3 linked regions of the Alligator mississippiensis genome follow. The protein of the gene in region 2 purifies or fractionates together with the protein of the main gene of each other region. This does not show direct contact. Links are inferred from orthologs where the notes say so. Each region holds a gene or a part of one and is shown on either strand. Other genes may lie near its edges.

Region 1 (7,510 bases), on a different chromosome or scaffold from region 2:
TCCCTGGGCCTTCCTTTTACTCCCAATATATCTAAAAAACAATTTCTTGTTGTCTTTTACTTGGGTTGCCATCCTCAGCTCCATGGTAGTTTTGGCCCGCCTAACTGCCTCCCTACAAGCACGAGCAGAGGAGGTATATTCATCTTTAGTGATCTCACCCTGTTTCCACTTTTTATGTGCTCCCCTTTTGGCCCTTAGGCTGCCCTGGATTTCTCTGATCAGCCATGGAAGCCTCCTGGCCCCTTTCCCTTTTTTGCCTCGCTCAGGGATCGTCTTGCTTTGTGCCCGAAGGATCGTTTCCTTAAGGCACAGCCACCCTTCTTGGGCTCCCATCCCTTCAAAACTCCTACTCTGCAGTGCATCCTTGACTAATCGCCTGAGTGCATTAAGATCAGCTTTCCTAAAGTCTAGCACTTTCACCCTACTAGTTACCTTACCCACTCGCCGTCTTATGTTGAATTCTATTATTAGGTGATCACTGTCTCCCAAATGGCTACCGATCTGGAGGTCCCCTATCATGTCATCCCCTGTTGCCAATACCAGATCCAGTATGGCATTCCCCCTAGTGGGACCATGCACCTCCTGTGTCAGGTGGAGGTCCTGTACACAGGTTAGAAACCTGCGTGAGTGATGGGACCTTGCTGTCTGCGTCTCCCAGCAGATGTCCGGGTAGTTTAGGTCCCCCATGACTACCGCCTCTTTAGCTTTTATGGTCTCTGAGAGTTGCCTCAGGAGCCCCGCATCTATTTCTTCCCCTTGGTGTGGGGGTCTGTAGCAGACCCCTACCACCAAATCCCTTTCTCCTTGCCCCCCATGTAGCCTAACCCACAATCCTTCTACTTCCTCAACCTCGGATTCTGTCTTGATGAGGGTTGATGTATATTGCTCACTGACATAAAGTGCAACCCCCCCCCCCTTTCTTCCCCGACCTGTCCTTTCTGTACAATCTATAGCCCTCAATATGTACTGCCCAGTCATGGGATGAATCCCACCAGGTCTCTGTTAGCCCCACTAAGTCATAGGTGTTTAGTGCAAGCAGGAGCGCTAGTTCATCCTGCTTGTTCCCCATGCTCCTAGCATTAGTATATAGGCACTTGAGCCCTGCGACTGGCGCCTTTGCTGCCCCCCCCGCTCCAAGTCCCAAGGGGCCCATTGTTTCTTACCTTCTTGTTTCTTACCTGTTCTGTAGTGCTGGTCTCCGCATGGCTTTCAGGTTTCCAATGTTCTCCTTCTTCAGGCTGGGCTGTCCTCGTGGGTGCCACATGGTTTGGTGGTCCACAGCTTCCCCTGCCCTCGTACTCCCCTCCCCCCAACGAGCCTAGTTTAAAGCCCGCCAGAGGAGATCCCCCAACCTAGAAGAAAACACACACTTACCTTTGGGGGACAGGTGAAGCCCATCCCAGCTGAGCATACCCTGGTTGGGTAACTTTTTTTTTCCAGGTTTTTTTCTTCAGTTTTTGAGCACCCCAGAAGGGTCAGGCCCCAGCAGGTAAGAAGGCAGCTGGCTTGGGCACTAGGGGAAGCATGTCTGAGGCTCAGCATGAGGCTGGCAGATAAAAGCAGGGAGTTTGGGGCAGATAATGGCCCCTCTTTCTGGACAGAAGGCCCAGTTCTAAGATGTGTTGATCTTTTTTTCTTTTTACCATTTTTTTGTTTTCTCTTGCCTCCTGAAGTTGCTGGGCTATGCTTGGCTTGTTGTGACCAGAGTCAGCTGGTGCTGTGGTTGCGTAGGCAGGTGCTTTAGGTGGACATGTCTGTGGCTGGATAGGTTGCGGTGTGAGCTGAAGGCCGTTAGGTTACCAGGTCAAGGCTCTGTGTTGCCTCCTGTTTTCAGCCTCTGTATATGCCCCCCAACCCCCTTGTAACCCAGCCCTCACTGTTGCAGCCAGAGAGCACAGGGGTGGAGCCAACCCTGCTCTCTGGAGCAGAGAGCCCAGGCCAGGGCACAAAAGCCTGCTGGGTTGCTGGGGCAGTTTGATTTAATTTGAAGCAGGCAGGGATCTGGGACTGAAGTTTGATAAACCTATAAACAACTTGTGCCCCGGCAGCTGGTGGGGCGTGGCGGCAGCAATGGGAGTGTAGTGGCAATAAACAGGGAGCTCCTGCAGATGCCGCCAGCTCTGTTGGCAGGGGTGGATTTGTGAGTGTGGGGGAGTGACACCACAGACAGCAGCTATTTCTGGCAGCCAGCGACAATGGCTGACTGGTCTCTAGTGCCGTCAGTGGCGATGGTGGGTTGGCGAATGGCGACTGCATGCAGCACTGCCAACACTGTCGTCAGCGCCTTTTCATAAGGGGTGCACGTTACCCGCATGCACCCCCTATACATCACGAATGCATAAACTGGTCTGGCACAAATCAGTTAAGTGTGATATTACATTGAAACAGGTTTATCTTAAACCAGTTTCAGCCATTTTGAAACTGGTTTATGTGCTCTGACCTTCTGTTCTGTTACAGGTTTAAACCAGTTTCTGATCACTTATACTGGTTTATGTGTAACTTCTTTCCCTAACCTAATAGTGTGATAATCTTAGGCATTATTTGCCTTTCCTTTTCCCATTGTAAGACTTTTATGAATCCAAGTCTTATCACCTACCTCCTGGGAGCAGGCGGTGAATGAAAACTTTCACTCAAATTGTAATTAAGAGTAAGGTATAGTTGTGGGTTTGATAAATCCCTCACTCTGAATTCCAATTTGAGTGAGAATTCAATTTTTTTCCAAAATGTCTATAGTCAGCAATGTATGAAGTTGGCTTTTGTGTAGGATGAATGTATGTAGAATCTGATCTAAGGTGCTGCTTCACCTTCCTTTTTATAAACAGAATAAACTAAACTCCTTGCATTTGCCTCTTTTCCAGATGGGTGATTTTTGTAGCTCTTCTCTGAAAGTGCAGACACTCGTATAGACATGCTATTCTAATTTGAATGTGTTGGAGCAGTTAATTGAGTCTGCCGAACATTTTAATTAGAATGTTCCAGCATGTCTCGCCATCACCTGTATAAGCCCTCACATGTTTCAAAATGGTGATGGTGGCACTTTTAACTAAAGCTCATTGGACTAACTTTAAAGCCCCCTGTGGCCATTTTGAAAAGAATAGGGGCTTCTACACCTGACAGTGAGCTGGGAACCACTGTAATTAAAGTACCCACCCTCACCTCCAAGTACTGTATGGGTACCCTAGGACTAGTCTCTTCTAGTTCACTTGCCCATGCCATATGAAGCAGTACCATCACTTCCTCAGTCCTGCTGCAAATTTCCCTCTCCACCTATCTAGTAATAGAGTTGGTGTCAGACAAGCTTTTGGCAGACAAGGTTCTTTGGGTAAATCTGGTATCTTTTATTAGACCAACTGAAATAGTTGGAAAAAATCTTTGCAAGCTTTTGGGTATATATACCCTTCGTCCGGCTGTGGAAGCATCTGCAGTTGGTGTGTGCTCATCCTGGATGGAATGAGTAGTAAAGAAGCTGGTATGGCTTTCTTGCATGCACTCTGCCTATGTCCTTAGCCAAACACAGCTACACGCTGAGACAAGGCGTTGGGCGCATGCAGCCCTTCCTCTGGTCACGAAGGGCCCTACTACATGTTCCCGTTAAACCTGGATAGAAACCAGCTCTGAAGTTTGGTGCATGTTCTCGAGCACTAACTTTGTAGTGGGCTGGCTCCCTTTCTAGTGGGATGGACACTTTTATGGCACAATAGTGACTTACTTTGCAGGTCACACAGTCTAAATAGATTGCGGGATTCACCTGTGAGTTGGGTCAGGTATATAACGTGAGGCAGTGCCCCAGGTCTGTCACCTCTCCCACGCAGACCGGGCTGCGCCATGCACGTTTCCCGCCCCTCGTGGCGACACCCGCGCTTCGGCCCCGCCCCCGACGAGGGGACCGCGGGCAGCACAGCGGAAAGGGCTGATGCCGTACCGCTCACTTCCGGGAAGCCCCGCCCCTCAGCGGCAGTGGCGCAGAGGCGGCCCCTCCCAGCGTGGGGGCGGAGCTAGTTGCTGAGGCGACTGTGGAGCGCGCGCCACCGCATCCAAACGACATTTCCGGGTTGGGCCACGCCCGCTCGCTCTGATTGGCCTAGACAACAACAGGCTCTTCCGTCCCCCGGCCGTTACCAGAGTAACAGAGACGCTGTTAGCTGGAGGAAACGTGTTCCCCCCGTCCTGGGTGCGGTGCGCATGCGCACTTGAGAGGTTGCCAGGCGCGTCCCGGCTGGGAAGATGAAGGTGAGGGGCTGAGGCCGTTACTGCGCGGGCCGGCGGTGCCCGACAGGCCGGAACGGGGCTACGGAGGCCTCCCCGTGAGGCGGCGGGTGCGGGGGCGCTGCCGCACGGTGCTCCCAGCTCCTGTACCGTCGCCCGGGCTGCGGGCGCCAGCGGCATCTCCTGAGTCGGCTGCGCTGTTTGGCCCCGGGCGCGATGCGCGGGAATGGCACCGCCCTGACGGAACAGGTGTGGAGCTGCGGGTGTCCCACGAACAGGGGTGACCGCCCCACAAGTCTCGGGCTGTGGGGCTCGCAGCAGGGGAAGTGTCGTTGGCTGCGGGGCTTGTAGTGGAGCAGCAGGGAGACTGCTGCCGTGCTGCAAGCCCGGTGAGTTGGGCTCACAGCGGTGGCAGCACCCCCTTCTGTTAGCCCCGCACCTCCCAAGGCTCGTTCTCTGCGCCGCCTGACAGTGGGGACAGCTGCCCCTTCTGTGAGCACCGCAGTGCGTCACCTGGCAGCCTTACAGCCATGGGAGCTGGTGCAGAGGAAACCTTGGATGGTGATCACAGGCTCCCCCTACACCAGCAGTAAGCAAGAGGATCTAATGTGCGATCCCACAGTCACACTTCCTGTCACGCACGTGTGGCCTGGCAGGAGGCACAATTGTGTGGATCTCACGTTAGAGCTGATTGCGCCTTTATCTGCATGTGTAGTAGGGCCCTTTATTAACATGTGCCTAGGTGTTTTACTACGTTGTTTTTTCAACACTTGCTGTTTTAAAGTTAATAATTCTCTTCTTTTTGCCCTCCCTTTCCCCACACCCCCCCGCCAGCGAGTGTTTTTTCTTTCAGAAAAGTCTTTGCTTGGTTCACCAGTGCAATTAACCTGGCAGAAGACTTTAGGAAATTTTCTTGCAGTAACAGGGTAAGAAAACTATGAGCCTCCCTCTGCTATTGGAAGGAGGTTGTAAAAGCTAACAAGCAATTTCAGAGGACACGAAATGAGAAAATGGGAACAGGAGGGTAGGTCATAGGTTAATAATAAATGTTTCAAGGAGGGCTATGGAGCAGAATGCACCACCCAGCACCCACTGTGCTGCAGTCAGACCTAGTTCTTATGCAATGGAGAAACAAAGGGCCATGTCCACTAAGGGAATTATGAGCCTCTCTTAGTTGGGGAGCATGTGTGTGTGACTGGTGCCTCTTGAGTCTGAGGGGGGTACCTGCAGAAGTTAGCTGCGGCAGTGGGGACAAGGCTGGTGAGCACCTGTGAAAGAAGGCATCAGTGGTGGGGATGGGGCTGGCAAGTGCCCGCAAAAGCTGCCAGAGGTGTCAGTGGCAGGGACAGCCCTGTCAGCGAGGGCATGTGTAGTGTCGTGTCCCCCCTCTTCCCCCCCACCTCCCCCCCGATGCCTCCCCTACCAGTTGCCTGTGTTAGAGAGGCAACTGAGTGCATAACAACTTTAAATATTTTTTATGTGTACAGAGAAATCATTGAAAAGTGCAAATAGCATTAGCTATTAGATGTGAAAATAGCTCAAAGTACTGACCCAACCCCTGCAAATAGTCATAGATTAAATTTGGGAACCAGATCACAGGGATATGAAAGATCAGTGGAAAACATTCTTACTGATATTTGTAAATGTACAAAGAAAATTCAGTTTCCCTTATTTGCTAATCCTTTTTCAATTTTTTTAGTGTTGATCACACTGTAAAAATCTTTGATCGTCATGGTCAGAAGAGAAATGAAATTAACCTACCAGGGTAAGTACTGAGATAAGTTTTGAGCGCTTTCTTAAAAATACATTTTTTTTTTTTTTTTTTTTTTTTTTAAGGACATGATCGTATAAATAAGGAATATGAATCAAGCTGCGGCCATGAGGCAGGGCTGATTTCGCAATAAAATAACGACAAAAAATACTATGTTCCTGTACCAATGATGTATCTCGGTGTCTTGTGCTACCTGTCATCTTTGGTGCTACCTGTCATCTTGTGCTACCAGGCTGTTTTATTTTATCAAGACAAAACCTGCCCAGAATAGAGAGCAAGAACACAATTCATATTCCTTACAATTTTTTTTTTTTTAAATATCATTTATTTTATTTTGTCTGGTAAAGCAGTGAGATTCCATGCTTCTCACTCAACGCACATACAACAGTTTTAAAACCTTTTTTCTTATATATTTTACAATTTTTTTTTAATCAAAAAAACAATAGCTGAGAGATTATGCCAGTATCACAGTATAGAAGACAATAAATGGCTTCTTTCAGACTCAGGGCTAGTTTTGTTGTACTTCTGCTTCCTGCCTGCAGCCAGTTGGAGCAACTGTGATGAACCTACAACTTCCATGTTATTTCATTAGTTGTTCCCAGTACTTAGTAATTATGCATTTAGTTGCCTCCCTAACTATAATTGTCTTAGTGTGCTTGGCTCACTGTTTCCCCATTGTATAACAGATAGGCCTGACTGCAGTCAGTGGGTGCTGGGTAGTACATTCTGCTCATTACCCCCACTTGAAACACTTATTGTTAACTTATGACCCACACTCCTGTGCCTATTTTCTCATTTATTGTCCCCTGGAATCACTTGCTAGCATTTATGGCCTCCTTCCAATAATAGAGGGAGGCTCATAATTTCTGTGTGAGCCTAAGCTCACAGACTGTAGCCAGAATACAAGAAGTGGCTGACATTTATACAGACACTCCTATCCCAGGATTCATCCTTTTTTTATTCCGGGTATGCAGCTAGGCTTCTGGGTGGATAGTCCGCTCTGCCACTCCCATGTCTTTAGGTACACCAAGTGACCACTTCCCCCTTCTGTATCTCCCAGTCCTTTAGTCTCTGAATCCTTTTCTACAACAAAAGGAAAATAGTCCTACTTCAGATGCAGAGATTTTTTTTATGATCTTAGTGTACAGGTACCTCCAGAATGCTCATCTCCTTTCATTACAAATTATGATATCTCTGTTCCTGTGTCAGTTCTAGGATCTTCTTGTAGCTACAGCCTTCTTCTGCATCAGTGTGGCTCTTTCTCAAGCTCATACATTAATTAGTACTAAGCGAGTTTTCAGGTTGCGTTGAGTAGCTTTAAAAAGTGCTATAGTTTGGTGAAATCCATATTTTCATGGGACATAGTTAAGTGACATAGTTATAATTCTTTATCCATATTTTATGTATAAGGGACATAGCTGGAGGCCCACCAGCCCCAGAATCTTTGGAGGGACTAGGGTGGTAGGCTACTTGTGAAGGCGAAAGGAGGAGGAAGAAGTCATAAGACTAGTTGAAGTTTGTGCTAATGCAGCA
Region 2 (7,880 bases):
CTCCCGCTGCCTTAGATGTTTTCTCTACCAAGGTATGTAATGGTAATTTGTGAAGGAGGTTTGAAAGTATTTTCACTAATATACTATTTCTCACCTGTTTTCAGATTATTTCTACTGTATAGAGTATTTTATGCACTTTGACTTAAATATTTGTTGCCAGTAAAATGATCCCCAGGCATCTTTCACTTTGTACTAATTGTCTAAGGGTTTTTTCTATCTTTCACTGGCAACTTAGTAATTTGTTAGAGAAATAATATAACATAACATACTTGAATATCATTCTGAAGTATGTTAAAATGTTGTGAAAATCTATATTGCATACATTATTCAAAGGATAGGTTAATTTTCTTCCCAATGTTTTTTAATTTCTTACTCAACAATGGGGTCATTACAACAGACAGGAAAATGGGGTTAGGCTATATTATAGTTTAACATTCCAAGTGTTAAAGGTCAAAATAATTTTACAAATTTAAGGTTGGATCCTGTAGCTGAATCAATCTGGATCCACTCCTGACTTAAGCAAGGAGGGTCTTAGTGCAAAGAATCTGGACCTGCACTGTAGCCTGTAGCAGACAAATGATTATCTCAGGAGAGGACAGCTTGTACTTTATCCTTTTGTGGTGTATCACTCTTTACATTAAATTGTTTAAAAAGTTGAGTAAGTATTATGCTCATTTTGCAGATAAGGAAATGTGTGTATTTATAGTCTTGTCTGTGCTGTAAAAACAAGAGTTTTTACTACAGAAGTTTCTAATCCAAGTTACTGAATAAAATTATAACATTGTACAGTAAATAACCTTATTTTAAAAACAAATATTTCCCAGTCTTTATTTCTGCCTTAGTGTTTTGGTCTTATACCATGGTTTGAATAGCCATATGGGTCAAACCAAGGAGGCTTGAAACGTGGCTCTGTCACAGCTGAAGTTAACAAATCGAACAGGATGCTTTTTATATTTACACAGTGTGTAAATTTACATGGTGCTTTACTAACCTACACAATTCAATGCATTCAGATCTCCAAGGAGCTCACAGTGCAGGACCTCTGATCCTGCAAACATGCATGTGAATAACTTTGTATGCCTGAGTAATCCTAGCGCTTCTAGTTGGACTGCTAATGTGTAAAGTTACTTATTTGTGAGTTTGGAGAAATTGGACCTATTTAAAACACAATTTAGACAAGAACTGAGATAAGAAGCTGGTGTGGAGGCTAAAGACATTTGAACTTTCCTTCATTCTGTAGTAGATAGGGCCCAAAAAGGCAGGCCAATGATAAACTTGTACAAACAAAAAATAGAATGCAAATTAACTGTAAATTTAATGTTACATTATCACAGTCAAAGTGGCAATGTAACTTGGGGTTCACTGCATATCTTGTGTAATTTATGGCACAAATTATATACACTTAGTGTGTTAAAAGAACAGGGACAGAAAATACTGTGTGTGCAATGCAGCAGAACTAACATCGCCATAGAAACTTAAATTCTTATTTTTCCTCATCTTAATTGAGATGCAACCTTTTAATATTTGCATCAGTTTTCTAGGTTTATTTTTATAAAGTAGTATAGTATATGGCCAATAATAGATTTTTCTTAATCCCTTTCCCAGCTATAAAAAAGCCATCAGTATATAAAACATACTTCTGAATCTTTTTTTGATCACCTTATATTTGATACCATGACATGTCATTCATGACATTCTTTTCTCTTAAGGTATTTTCAGTCATTTAACTTTATAAATTATTGTAGGCAGTCCTCTTGTTACTGTGGCAGTTTCTGTCCTTTCCAGTTGAGGTAAGAGGACTTAAAACAGAGGTCAGATCTCCATTGCTGATCCTCCAAAGTGTACCAGGATGCACCTGGACATGACAGAGTGCTAGCAGCATTCTTTTAAAACCAGGGATGAAGGTGTTGGGTGTTGCCCGTTATTAATCAGAACACTCTAGCAGCCTTGGATAGCTGACCTAGCACCTTTTGCAAGGGCTAGATTCAGAGAATCTTAACATAGGAGGAGGAATCCTTGTGATTTAAAGTATTAGTCCAGGGCTTAATATGTCTGTTTAGAATGCAAATTCTGCAGCAGTGACTGCGTATTGGATATTTGGGGAAAAATCTTCTCATTGTAAGTGTAGTTATTAGTTAAGCACTGGAATAGATTACCCAGGGAGGTTGTGGAACAGGTTAGACATCTACCAGAAATGTTTTAGGCATACTGGATCCTATCTTGGTCGGGGAGTGAATTAGACTTCTTGAGATCATTTCCAGGTTTACCTCTCTAATTCTGCTTGTTTATAGAGTGTATATCATGTAGGGGGATTCCAAGAGTTGAAGCAATAGTAGAAATACTTTTTACAGGAAGTCCTCATCTTGTAAATAAATCTAACATTAATTGAAGTATTGTTAAATTCAGGGTGCACCAGCATTCAGAGCTTTTTTTCTGCAAGTGCCCATCTACATTTTTGGTTATGATGAAACTTTTGGCCTCCTTTATAATATACACCATCTCTTTTCTGATGGAATCACATAATTCCAAGTCCCTGCACTATTTGTGCCTAATGGGGTGTGATGCATCATTTGAATGAATGTACATGGTCAAAGCTGGCAGCTACATTTTGTGCATATAAACCTGAAGTTACCATTTAAAAATTAGAAGATAAATCATACCTTTGATTATTTGTTTAAATGTTGGCCATGATCCTAAGACTCTGATGCATGGGTTTGCTATGACTTCAGTGGGGCTATGAATAGCCACAGGGATGTGCTCATACAGACCATTAGGATTAGATCTTAAGGAGTTGCACACCTTCTAGGTTAATATACACCTCCTAGTGCTGCCCATTGGTCTCAGAATGACCCACAGGTAGCATCTGGGGCCTGCTGGATGGTCTCTGCTCCAGTTTGTGCCCTGGAGAGAGAGAGAGTGGCTGCTGCATGGAGTGCAGCCCCTGCTCCAGGGGCATGCAGCACAGCCCAGTGGCAGCAGCAGCTTCAGAGCTGTGCAGCACATCCAAGGAGCAGCCAGAGAAGGACTGGACCATGCACAGCACCCTCTTTGGCTGCTCCAGGACATGTGCTGGAATGTAGGGCCAGTCTGTAGGTCTGGTTCAGCCTGCAGACCAGCCCCACATCCAGCAGACTGAATAAGTTTGATACCTCTGCTATATATTAACTATTATGCTTGGATTTTTTTAAAAATGTTATTTTTTTACAGCAAAACATTTCAGTGATAACATACTTTGCCTCCATCTCCCAACTCTTCCCCAAACCAAAAAAGGTTGTGCCCTTTTTAGAGGTTGCAAACAGAATTGTAGAACTGTGATATTTAATTAAGAAATATAGCCTCTCATAGTAGTGCATGGAGGCTTCAGTCAGATCAGGCCCCATTGTGTTAGGCACTATGCAAACATAGTTGGTGACTTGAAGAGTTTACAAACTAATGTATGGATTTCCAGATCGGAGCAGTCTCATGTCATGTTTAAGTCAATGGAAGCTGCGTGTGTTCATCACCTTTGACAACCAGGCCATTGAATATCCAGTCTCCTCTGTCACTAATAAAAACAGTTTGGCAAATGCTTCTCCATAGGGTTAATTGACACAGTGTTGAAAATGGCTGCTGGTGCCAGAGATGTACCTATTAGGGCTTTCAGGCCTCATAGTCACTGAACTCTCTGAAGTAAGTAGGTGTGAGTTTGCATTAACATGTTCTCTACAACTCCCACTGGTTTGGGCTTGTATGGAAGAAATGTGCTACAGTGGCTAGAGTACTATAGTAAGAATTGGGAGACTTTCTAACTAGTTGTACAACTTTAATCAAGTCATTTTGCCTCTGTTATACTGCTCTCTTCCTTTGCAAAGCGATCTGAAATGTGCAGAAGAAAAGTATTTATATAAAAGCAAATTATTTGTGTTATGGAAAGGAACATCTGCATGCGAGATACTGCTTTGTGCCCTGACTGTCTAACACCAGCTGTCTTATGTCTTCAGTCCTAGTATGACAGTCGGTAGCAGCAATCCCCCAGTTCAAGGGCTGATCTCTACCACAGCTCATTGATGGGTCTTGAGCCACAGATCCAGCTGCAGAAGCTGCTGGTCGTTCCATGGGTGTAGGCTGGGATTCCTCTCCTTTGAGAGTGACCTTCTTCCTCTGCGGACACTCTCTCAATGTCCCCTTTTCGATGCTAATACAACCTCCCCCGACTGTGCTCAGGACATTACTTGAAGCACTTCACCGTTCTCTTTTCATCCGAGACAAACATGAACACAAATTCGGTCCAGCGCCTTCCGGTTAACGACTCTTGGCGAAAGGGCGTCCCTCACCTGCAGCTCCCGGCTGTCAGCAGGCAGCTTGGCCCGAGCTCAGCACCTGTCACCGGCATCGCTTGCCTCGCATCTTCCAGAAAGAAGGAAGATGATGATAAAAGGCTGTTTCTGTCTTCTTTGGGGATCCTCAGGAAACAAAGGGCTTCGAGACGGTGCTCCCGCGGGGCTGGCGGGGTGCGGGTATCCCCAGGCACCCGGCACCCCTGAGCTGGAGCGACCGGCCCCCTGCCACGCGCGGCTGCGGCTTCTGAGCTTCCGTGTCTGCCGCCGGGCCGGCTCGGGCGTTTCCGTGACTGCTCGGCGCTCCGGCCGGGCCGGCTCGGGCGCTTCCGGTTCGTGCTCCCCCCGTTGTCAGGGGTAACGCGAAGCATCATGGAGCCAACGCGGCGGCGGCGGCTGCAACCGAGGCCCTGAGCGGCTGCGTCCGCGCTCTCGGGGCAGGCGGCGGTAGGAGCGGGCAGGGCCGCGGCCGGGGGGGGGGTCGGCAGGGCCCGATGCGGCCCCCGGGGCTGGGAGGACCCGGCTCGGGCTTCTTCCCCTCGTGCTGCTGCGCTGCAAGGGGCCGGGCCGCGGCTCCCCTGGGCCGCGGGGCTCGGCTGGCGGGCCGGGCCGCCGGTGTCGCAGCGCTCTCTGCAGGCGCCGAGCGGCTCCGTCCCCTGTCGGAGCCGCCCCCGGGGTGCTGCCCGCGGCTTTCGCGGGCCCGGCGGAGCGGGGTGAGGCGCCCGTGGCACAGAGCGGCGGGGCCGGGTTTCGGGCCCTCCTTGCTCCCTCCAGAGCGCCTGTGGCCGGAAGGCCCCGTGCGCCGGGGTCACCTGCCTGCTGGGCCGAGGCCAGGAGCCGCCCCGCCTCGCCCTCCTCGCGTCGCCCTTTGAAGGATCTGGTAGCCCCCCAGGGTGCCCCATATCCTGGTGAGAATCATGGGGTGGTCCGTGGCCGCCGTAGTCTTTGTACTCAGAGTGCCTTTAAACACGGCTGCTAGTTCTGTTTCTCCCCTTTTTAAAATAAAACTTGAAGAGGGCAGCACTTTGCTTCCATGTTGTAGTCTGTGGGGTGATAGAGCAGCTCCCACAGAATCATTGAAAAGGAGAGCCAGAAGGGACCTCAGGAGGTCATATTCAGTCTAAGCCCCTACTCAAAGCAGGACCATCCCCAACTAGATCGTCCCAGCTAAGGCTTTGTCTAGCTGGGTCTTAAACATCTCCAAGGATGGAGAGTTTACAACCTCTCTGAGTAACCTGTTCCTGTGTTTTTTTACTTTTACATACCATTATTGGGCTTTGTTTGTCAACTAATAATTTAAAAACACAAACATCAGGGAAGTAGGAGGCAAGGTGGGTAAGAAGAACGGTCGAATGGGCCAGTCCTTTTGCTCAAAAGGAATAAAATGCAAAACCAGATAATGGGGAAAATGAGGAACCCAGCCCTGTCACTGACTTTGTTCAGGCAGAGCAGTGCAACACCCTCCCCCCCCCCCCAAGTTTTGTGGGGGCTTGTCTGCCCACATGAAGCTCATTGCACGTTCAGGACCCAAATCACTAGTATGTTTGTACAACATGCATCTTTTACCAATCAGAAGCTGTAGATGGGTAAGAGTGCACCAAAGGAAAGTAGTCTTGATCATGCAGTTTGAAACCCAATACAGAGTTTGTAGATCAAGGGACAGATACTATTTCCCCATCTCAGATTTGTCATTTTTGCTCTCTATATAGTATGATTTTATAAACCCATTAAAAACACACAAAACAAAACAAAACTTTGAATTAAAAATTTAAGAGGATTTATGATGATTTCTTAGAGGTAATTGCAGAATCTCTTAAGGAAGTCCTCACATCCTTTCAGAAAACCAGATCTATTATCTCTGATGGATTCATTAAGGAGCTCAAGTCTGTAGCCAAGCACAGTTCAGTAATGGTCAGACTTGTGTAGGACAAAACAACCAACCAACCCCCGCCCCCCAAAATCAAAACTACATTCTTGGTTGACAATTGAGGTGTGATCCAATACAGCTGATGGTATTACATAGAGAATATAAATAGCTTGAAGAATACAAATCAAAACTGATATGCATATATTTAAGTGGTGCAGCAGCTAGTGCCAGCTCTTCAAATAGCATGCTGGTTTGTTGTGACTTGAGCAAGCTTAAGGTAAAAGGTGCTGCATCAGAATCTCAAAAAACCTTCCTTTTTGAAAAAGTTTTATTTTTTTATTAAGATTCCAGTCCTATACTTGATGCCCTTCAGACAAATACTTCAGACCATGACTGAATAAGAAAAAATAAATCCCCTCCAAACAATATACATAGGAGAGCATAATGTTCTCCTAAACATACAATTATCTCCCTGAGGAGAGGTGAGAAAGTTAACTTCATATGATGTTAATCGCATTGCTGTGCACTTTTGGCAGGTATGTAGTTACTAGTTATGAGGAGATATATAGAAGAAAAAAAAAAAAAAGTATTTAGACTGCTATGCTGCAAGTCAAGTTCCAAAAGATTATATAACAAAACATTTGGGGAACTTTTTTTTTTAATTCTTATAGTACTGGTTAATTCTTCTAGTCTTAGACCAGTGGTTGTCAGCCAGGGGTACACAGAATGGAAAAAAAAAAAAAAAAGTTAGAGGTGCACTAATACATTGGTCCCATCAGATCGGCACAGATAAAAGGAAGTGACAGTATCGGCAATCAAGGAATTTTGTGGTGGCTGAAGCCCCCGCATTGCTTCCCTTCCCAAGGCTGCCACCTCCCACCCTGAGCATATCTTGGCCCAGCCCCCCTGCTGGGAAGAGCCTGGCACCCCCTTGGTCCAGCCCACAGTGGTAGCCTGCCCTCACCCAGCACAGATTCAAGGGCACACCTCCCCCATGCCCTCCTGGGGTGTGTAGTGCCAGAAACCAACCCCCCCTGCATCTCCCATATGAGCTGCCTGTGGCTCAGTCCCATGCTCTGCCCCAGCTATGCAGCACCTGCCCCAGCCCCTCCCCCCACAACAGACTTACCAGCCAGATGCCACATATTAATAATGCATTCAATGTTAATTAGTATAGTCTGCCTGTGACTAAAGGAGTAGAGACCAGCCTGCTCCTTTGTCCTTGGAGGAACTGCCTGCCTTTCTCCTGCCATGCCAAAATGTTCTATTGTTTTGATGTTAGCAGGTGGGAGGCAGGGGTTTAGGTGCCCAACCCACCTTACACCAGGGTGGTTCTCAAACCTGACATATAAGTGACCCTGTCCCACCACAGGCAGGCCCACCCAGCCTCCCTATACCAGCAGGGTACAATTTCAGGGCATGTCCAGGACCAATAAGTCCTTTTCCTTCCCCATAGCCTCACCCTTACCTCTAAGATATTCCTAGAGCAGGAGCTCCACCAAGTGACATTACTCCCAAGACTACAGAGCACAAACTGCTCTGCTCTTATACCAGAGCTCTCCAAAATGGCCACCCTCATCAGACACCTGGAAGCTAACTGCTCTACCCCTTAAAGTGACAGAGTATTAAAACTGCCCTGTCACACTGCCTTATATCACATAATTGGTAATATTAAAAACAAGAAAAAAATATAAAGG
Region 3 (7,395 bases), on a different chromosome or scaffold from region 2:
CTCTCTATATTGTGCATGAAATACAAACACTTGTACTGGCACTGCTGCATGGACAAAAGCAGTGGATCCACCCCAGTGTCTAGTGTATTTCAACATCTGCTAAAAAAAATAATTAAATGACACATCCTTAACATAAATTTTCAATGTAGTGAGCCCCTGGGGACTACAAAGGAGCACCAGAGACCTAAATTTGCTCCAGGAATTACTGTATTATCACCAGAAGAAAGCTGAACAAGTTTAGCTGTATTACTTGAATTAAAAGTAGACAAACTTCTCAAAACGAGTTCTCAATATGAATAGAGCACTTCCAGTACTAAACTACAAACAAATTATCATGAGGAAAACAAAGTCAGGGATTTAATGTACAGGAGCTACTGTGTAGTAATTGTCTGTGTGTTCAGCCTGACTTAGTGGCATAGGTAAATTATCCCACAGTAACTTATGTCTCTTTCAGAGGAAAAAGTTACCAGGGGTTAGTTTCATGTGGTTTTACCACAGAGAAGCTGCTACCGTGAATATCCCCGTCTTCCTTCACCTTATAGTAACTTTTTTGTGTACCTGTGTCCTTAGATACAGCAATATGTGATACTGTACAACACCAGTGCTAGAAAGGTTATATAGACTTCCATGCAAACACACCTCAACAATATTAGCTACAGCCAATCGTAGAATAGGGAAGACTGAAATACATACTTCTTTTTTATTATTACTTAGAAAGCATGCTTGACTGAATTCTAAAATAGCGCTCTGATCCAAAATGCATCTACCAGTGATTTCCCACCAGGGTGCTACATTTTCCTTGGTTGCCTGGAGATTCTTTCCAGGGTGCCAAACATCAGTTAGGTGTGCAAATATGATTCACAAGAGAAACCCAAAGATTACAAATAGGAAACCACAGTGTTAAAAACATTCTGACCTGCAGCCTTTCTGAATTCTCTGCACCAGAAAAATTGCTGTATTATTTTCCATAGTGAAAAAAACAAGAGGAAATGAACAGTTGGTATATTCCAAGACCTGCCTCGAGTCTAACGAGGGGTGTCCTGTATCAAAAGAGATAAGAAACACTGGTATATACCTTTCAGCAACTTAACTGATGTCAAACTTTTCTTGTCACAAGGCTGTGAACTGCTGATTTCTGTTTGAGCATTAGATTTGAAGTCCTGGCTCTGCAAAAGCATTTCATCCTTCCCCTGCCCAAATTCTGATTCTGCAGAGTTCTCCTCAGAGTCTTTTGTAGCTGTATCATCAGAACTCCTCTCTGAGCAGGCTAACTCCACTGTGGTTCCTGATGCCTCTTCTGAGTGAGCTAAGACTGCTCCAAGATTCACCTCTGATTGGGAGTCCGATGTCAATGCGTTTCCTGAGTCTCCCCCACACTTTCCTGTATCCACATCATTTGAGTTCTGATCACCACTATCAGAAGCACAAGCATTATTCTTTCTCTGGAATGTTTTGCTTTTATTTATGTCAACTTCTTGTTTATTACACGGTATTTTTCTCTGTCTTTTGTTCTGGGTACAAGCTGGATTCTTTTTTTCTGACCTTTTTCTAGCTTTCTTAATTTGAACTCTTTTTTCAATTATCCCATTTTCTTTAACCTCCAAAGAATCATCCTTTGGTTTACATTCTTTAACGACCAAGTCTTCTGTTCCCTGGGTGAACGTGACAGAAATGTTTTCCTGCTCTTCATCAATAGTCTGAAGTACCTGAACACTACCACCGCCTTTACCATTTTGTGCACTAAACTCTTGTTTTGTATTGTCATGTTCCTTTTTCTGTATTGCGGTTTTCACAGCTTTTGCACTGCATTTTTTGGCTCTCACCTTGGTATTACTTTGAGCAGGAGTAGTAAAATCAAAATCTTCTAGTTTAAGACCGGTTTCTCCAGTTTTATGAAAATACTCTACAAGTGCACGTTTCGATCTTAACTTCACTCCTTCAGGACTGAGAAAGAAAGGTATATGATCAGTGATTACTTACTGTTTCTGTTTCTTAATCTAAAAAATATGCAATGCAGCCTCCTTTTCTAAACATAAGCTAAAATACTGGTTCATGTTGCAAGAAATAATCTAAACTAATATTTAAGGAAAAGGAAGGTTAGCTGAATATGCCTTTATAGATAATCTTTCTTTTAATAATTGATCAAAAAATACTTGTTATAAAACAAGAAAATGTGTGATAGTATCCTACACACTTGATTAAGCATTTTACAGTCTCACAACATGCTTCTAAGGCATATCAATGTTTTATTTATAGCTTTGCATCTTATTAGTACGAGGCACAAAGTCATAACATGACTCATTTTAAATCATGCAGAACTTTTCTCTTGACTTTAAGCTAAGCCTCACAGTAACCTGTGTGACAACTCGGGAAAGAACCCAAGACATGCAACAGCAAGGCCTCTGTTCTGCAACACATACTTTCTGTCTAGTAGAATAAATCAAGGGCACAAACATTTAAATTACTGTTCCCCTTTCATGATGGATTGCTAGAAATGTTTACCTGATAAAATAAACATCATATTTTCCTGCAGTTTTGCCTGATTGTCTTTGCTTTGTGATCTTCTCCCATCCATTTGGAGCGACTTTGTGACATGCAACAACCACTTCAGAGACAACAGCTGCATCTTCTTTACGCAGGAGACTGTTCTCGGCTATGGTCTCAGTACCTTCGGTTTGTGAATCAAAATGTTCTTCTGTCTCTGTCACTAACTGGTTTCCTTCATCTTTTGTTTGCATGTCACTTCGGTCACTGAAGGCAAACAAAAAGAAAATTTATCCTTCCAGACAGGTTTTCTAATCAGAACTGCTATATTTCAGGAGCTGCAGAGAAATGAAAAAAATAACCAGCCAACAGCCAGCCACGATCTGATATGCAAGATTGAGCTCGTTCTCTCTGACAGCAGATGTCCGCAGAGCTACAGAAATAGCACGATCAGCCTTTCCTATGTGAAACAAGCATATATTTGTATGCCTACGTATGTATGTGTGCATGCACATACACGCAAAGCTGTGTGGTTGCTCTGATCTTGGATCTGACACGAGCCACCCCTCGTCCTGTACTCTGTAATAACCATGAGGAGATAAACGAGGGCGATTCGGGACTCGACCATCTCGTGCCCTCCAGAAAAAACTGCCGAGACCGGTCTTTTGAAAAAACAGGTTTCTAGCTGTGCTCCTCACATCCTTTTCGAACATAACCGGTCGCCCTCCTGAGAGCCCAGGGGTCTGTCATGTACCACGTGAGCATGCTGTTATTTGAAGACATGACACACGCGTGCCCGTGCCACGTGGGCTGGAGAGGAAGGACCGGCTGGCTTGGCTCCACGCCCTCTCTCCGATCCAGGCTCTTGGCGTGGCTCCGCCGGCGGACGAGGCGGTGCCCGAACGGCCCCACAGGGGCGAGGAAGGCACTCATATGCCCCTCGCTTGAATCACAGTGAAGATGCCTGTGGGACCCTGGCACTTGGCTGCTACGTTGGGGCACCTCAGCAGCATGTGGGGCTCTGGACCCCCTGGCCCAGCACCCGCTCCAGCCTCCCCTCAGGGCTGCAGCGATGCCCAGCGCAGGGTGCAGGCCCCGGGTGCTCAGCACTGTGTGGGGGGGAGGGGGGAGCGGCCCTGAGCCAGGGGGGCAAAGCCGCCATCAGCACCCCTCGCAGGCGCGAAGCCGCACGTCACAGCAGTGACGTCACTCCTGCGTGCCCTCCCCGCTCCGTGACATCACCTGTCCCCCCCCACCGCATGACACCAAGCTACGGAGGACAGTGGTGGGAACAAGCCCCGCTTGTAGCCATAGCAACCCTACCTGCCCTTTCCTTGCTCCCCTACTTCCGGGGCCGCCATGTCGCGGCATCTTAGCGTCACGTGATGACACGCAGGCTCGTGCGACGCACGCGCGGCCCCGATCCCGCCAAAAGCGAGTAGCACCGCCCAAAAACATCCTGCGCATGCGCCCGGACGAGACGTCCGCGTACTCCGCAGCGGACGCTCCGCCTTCCGCGCCTGCGCGGTGTGGGCGTTGGCTTCACTTCTCCCCGCCCCTCCCCGTCGGCGCCGAGTGGGCCCCTTGCGCATGCGCGTTGCCTGGGACGCTGCCATGTAAATAAACGAACGGCGGCGGGGGAAGGGGAGCCGCGGCGGCGGGGGGGGGTGGGAGCGAGGAAGGGGGCGAAGAGGGCTGACGGGGGGGGGACCGGTAGGACGGCCGCTGAGGGAGGCGGCGGGCGGCATGAGGGCGGCGCTGACGTGGCGGGACAAGGCGGAGCAGTGGTAAGAGCCGGGCTGGGGGGAGGGCAGCGAATGTTGGCATGCGCCCCGCCCCTTTCCCTCGAGTGACCCCGCCCCCTTGTCCCAGGTGGCCACGCCCCTTGCCCGAGCCTCTGCTCTGCTTGTTGCTCTGTCCCCTGGGGGACCCCGGCCCGGGACCTGGAGGGCTGGGGCCCCCTGCCCAGGGACACGGGGCTCAGCGCGATGGTGCCTTTCTCATCGCACTGGCACGCTTCTGTCCACTCTGGTGTGGCTCTGCACGCTTCTGCCTCGCTGGCGGTGTTTTCCATCCCGGTTCAGCCTTGCGCTGCCCTCCGCCCCGGTTCTGCCACTGCCCCCAAGAGCGGTGGCTGAGAGGGTGCGGAGAGCAGCCCGCGTCCTGGTCTGTCAGGTGGCATCAGCTGGCAGAACGGCCTAGGCGAGGCCTGGGGCACGTTCTCGTTAGCTCGGGGAGATGGGTCGTCGTCACCCACGTAATAACGGGACGCGAGACCTGCTCTGTGGAGCTGGGCCATGGCCGTGCTGGACCGCGGCATGTTTCCGCGATCGCTCCCCGTCCTGTTTCGTGCTCCTGTAAACCTTCCCTTTTGGGTTTCTCTCTGCAGCATCTACGACCTTGCGTTTAAACCCGATGGGACGCAACTGATCATTGCAGCGGGAAACAGACTGCTGGTAGGAGAGCGCTTTAAGTTTTCCCAACGGCAGCGATACGGTGGGGGCTTGATGTGCATTCAGTTAATCTGTTGAAACAACTGTCAAGAGAGCTCTCCTTTCTTTGCCTTCCCAATCTGCCATTACCTGTCGGTGGCCTTCAGTTATAGATGGCCTCAAAATATACTAACATTTTCCAGTGTGTCATTTTTTGGAGTTTGTTTGTTTTAAATGAGGACTCTTTCATGTGACTTTAGGCCAGGGGCGAGCAATTACTTCAGGTGGAGGGCCGCTTCATGAGTTTTTTGGTGTGCTGTCAAGGGCCCCATGGATAGTCCAGCTCCTTGTCGGTTGCCCAGCCCCCTTGTCACCATCTTGGGACTGGATGTCCCACCCCCCCTAACCCTTGACCTTTCCTACTGGAAGTCCTTCCCCTTGCCCCCCAGAAATCCCCCTTTTGGGAGGTGGGGTGCCATCTTAGAACTAGAAAAAAAACCAAAATCATACACTAGAAGTCAAATGCCTACTATAGCATCTTTTAACTTTACTACAAAAAATATTTTTGTCATGGTTTGGGTTTGTGTTGTGTGTATATAGAGGCGATTGTATATATTGCATATAAATAAAACCTTATTTTTGAACATTATGGGGTGGGGGGGTGTGGATGTGTGTTTGGGAGGTTGTGAGGGGGTATGGCTGTGTGGAGGAGCATAGGGTATGTTGGGTTGTGTGTATGTGGGGGGGTGTGGGTGCAGAGGGTGGGGGTGGAGACCCCCCCCACACTGCCCATGGGTCATCGCTCTGGCCAGCACTGTACATTACAGCAAGGGGCACAGCCTCCACCCAGCTGCCTATATCCAGAGCCTGAAACTTCTCTCCCATGCTGAGCATCCCCAACAGGGAAGGCACTTGGCTCCAGTACGTGGGGCTTCCTCCTCTGCTGTGCAAATGCAGGGGCTGCAAGCGAGTGACTGGGAGCACTGGCTATACAGGTAGGTGCACGGAGGCTGTGCCACTCCTTGCACTGGCCAAAGCCATGTCCCGCTGGGCACCTGTGCCCTAAGTGCCCCACCTGCTGCTGCTCCCTCAGCCTGCCAGGGCTGCACACTATAGGGAGTGGCAGGGGTGGGGTCCCACACCCAATACTGTCCCCCACACCCAATACTGTCCCTCACACCCAAACACTTGCCCACCCCAGCTCTGCGCTGCTGCCACCCCCTGGGCACAGGCTCCGCACTGCCACCAGCCCCATGCTTGGGGCTCCCTCCCAGCTGAAGCCCCGCCCCCACTGCTTTCCTACCTGCAGCTGGGGGGAGCTGCAGCAGCAGCAACTCTGCATGGAAACTGCACGCTGACCTGCCATGCCCTTCTGGTCACGAGGGTGGAAGCGAGGCCATAGGGTACATTTTTGGGTCTGTGTACATGCGAGTGCCTCGCTCCGATCCTTGTGGGTGGAAGGGCTGGGTGGGGCACAATGTGTTGAGGGGCCCCAGGGGCCAGATGACAGTGCTTGAGCTGGATCAGGCCCACAGGCTGTATTTCGCTCGACCCTGCTTTAGGCCTAAAAAGATTTTGATGACATGAGGGAAGGGGTTAGTATAAAACAGACTATCCAAGTTAGCTGCCTGAGAGCATTAGATAAATGACCTTTGTTTATATGATCCTTTAACCTTTATTCTCCCATGACATAATACCTGGCTGTCAGTGCTTAGAAATAAATGCGTGCTCTAACCTTGAGGTCAGCAACCTGGAAACATTGCAACTGGTCCACAGACATAGGGCTTTGGTATTCAATCATGAAGATGTTTGACTGTGGGTCCTCTCCCTGTGTCACTAAGAGGGACAGAAGTGGTGGTTGTGACTGGGCCCTAGCACTCATCAGCTTCTGGCTAGGGGTGAATCCTTCTGGCCTACAGCTGGAAAAGGTTTTCTACCCCTGCTCTAGTATATTAAAAGGCAGCATCTACTTAAATGCTAGCCATTTTCAAAAGACAAGTAGTTGTAGCTACCACAACTAAAATCTGGTATGAAGATTTTAGAATAAGGTCTTACTTACGTTTTTGTAGATATAAGTAAGATCTGTCTCTTTTTGCTATGTAAAAGGTTCATTCAAACAGGGGGAAACTGACTAAATGGGGAAACTGCAAAAAAAAAAAAAAACATGCACTTTGAAAATTTTAAACTCTTGTTTAGTTCTTTAGTTCTTATACTTCTAGGCCCCAGTTCCACAGAGCTCCTTGGAGGACTAGGGCCTTATATTATTCTTTGTTTATTATTATTATTATTTATATAGGTATATGATACATCTGATGGAACCTTAATTCAGCCTTTGAAAGGACATAAAGACACAGTGTACTGTGTGGCTTATGCTAAAGATGGTAAGTGACACCTTTCTGGCTTTCTTGGGGAATGCTCAATACCAGTAACTTCCTGTGCCAGCTGCTGCTCTGTGTACATCATCTCCTGAAACACAAGT

Evidence for each region. The genes of interacting proteins can lie anywhere in the genome.
Region 1: the proteins of IFT140 (region 2) and WDR19 purify together in Homo sapiens (co-immunoprecipitation; 3 studies listed by BioGRID and IntAct, with this or other methods). This does not show direct contact. The link is inferred for Alligator mississippiensis from reciprocal best matches to the Homo sapiens genes IFT140 and WDR19.
Region 3: the proteins of IFT140 (region 2) and IFT122 purify together in Homo sapiens (affinity purification with mass spectrometry; 4 studies listed by BioGRID and IntAct, counting the BioPlex papers as one, with this or other methods). This does not show direct contact. The link is inferred for Alligator mississippiensis from reciprocal best matches to the Homo sapiens genes IFT140 and IFT122.

Annotation. Positions count from the first base shown.
Region 1 is NC_081825.1:50,486,043-50,493,552, forward strand, and holds the start of WDR19 (WD repeat-containing protein 19), read left to right. Parts: upstream 1-4,286; 5' UTR 4,287-4,422; coding exon 4,423-4,455; intron 4,456-5,040; coding exon 5,041-5,132; intron 5,133-5,905; coding exon 5,906-5,971; intron 5,972-7,510. UniProt on the Homo sapiens protein: As component of the IFT complex A (IFT-A), a complex required for retrograde ciliary transport and entry into cilia of G protein-coupled receptors (GPCRs), it is involved in cilia function and/or assembly.
Region 2 is NC_081836.1:29,248,157-29,256,036, reverse strand, and holds the start of IFT140 (intraflagellar transport protein 140 homolog), read left to right. Parts: upstream 1-4,675; 5' UTR 4,676-4,763; intron 4,764-7,880. UniProt on the Homo sapiens protein: Component of the IFT complex A (IFT-A), a complex required for retrograde ciliary transport and entry into cilia of G protein-coupled receptors (GPCRs).
Region 3 is NC_081835.1:15,084,282-15,091,676, forward strand, and holds the start of IFT122 (intraflagellar transport protein 122 homolog), read left to right. Parts: upstream 1-4,171; 5' UTR 4,172-4,230; coding exon 4,231-4,271; intron 4,272-4,873; coding exon 4,874-4,940; intron 4,941-6,487; exon of another isoform or gene 6,488-6,752; intron 6,753-6,975; exon of another isoform or gene 6,976-7,060; intron 7,061-7,212; coding exon 7,213-7,297; intron 7,298-7,395. Other genes in the region: MBD4 (methyl-CpG-binding domain protein 4), read right to left, coding at 1,076-1,944, 2,503-2,751, 3,808-3,845. UniProt on the Homo sapiens protein: As a component of the IFT complex A (IFT-A), a complex required for retrograde ciliary transport and entry into cilia of G protein-coupled receptors (GPCRs), it is required in ciliogenesis and ciliary protein trafficking.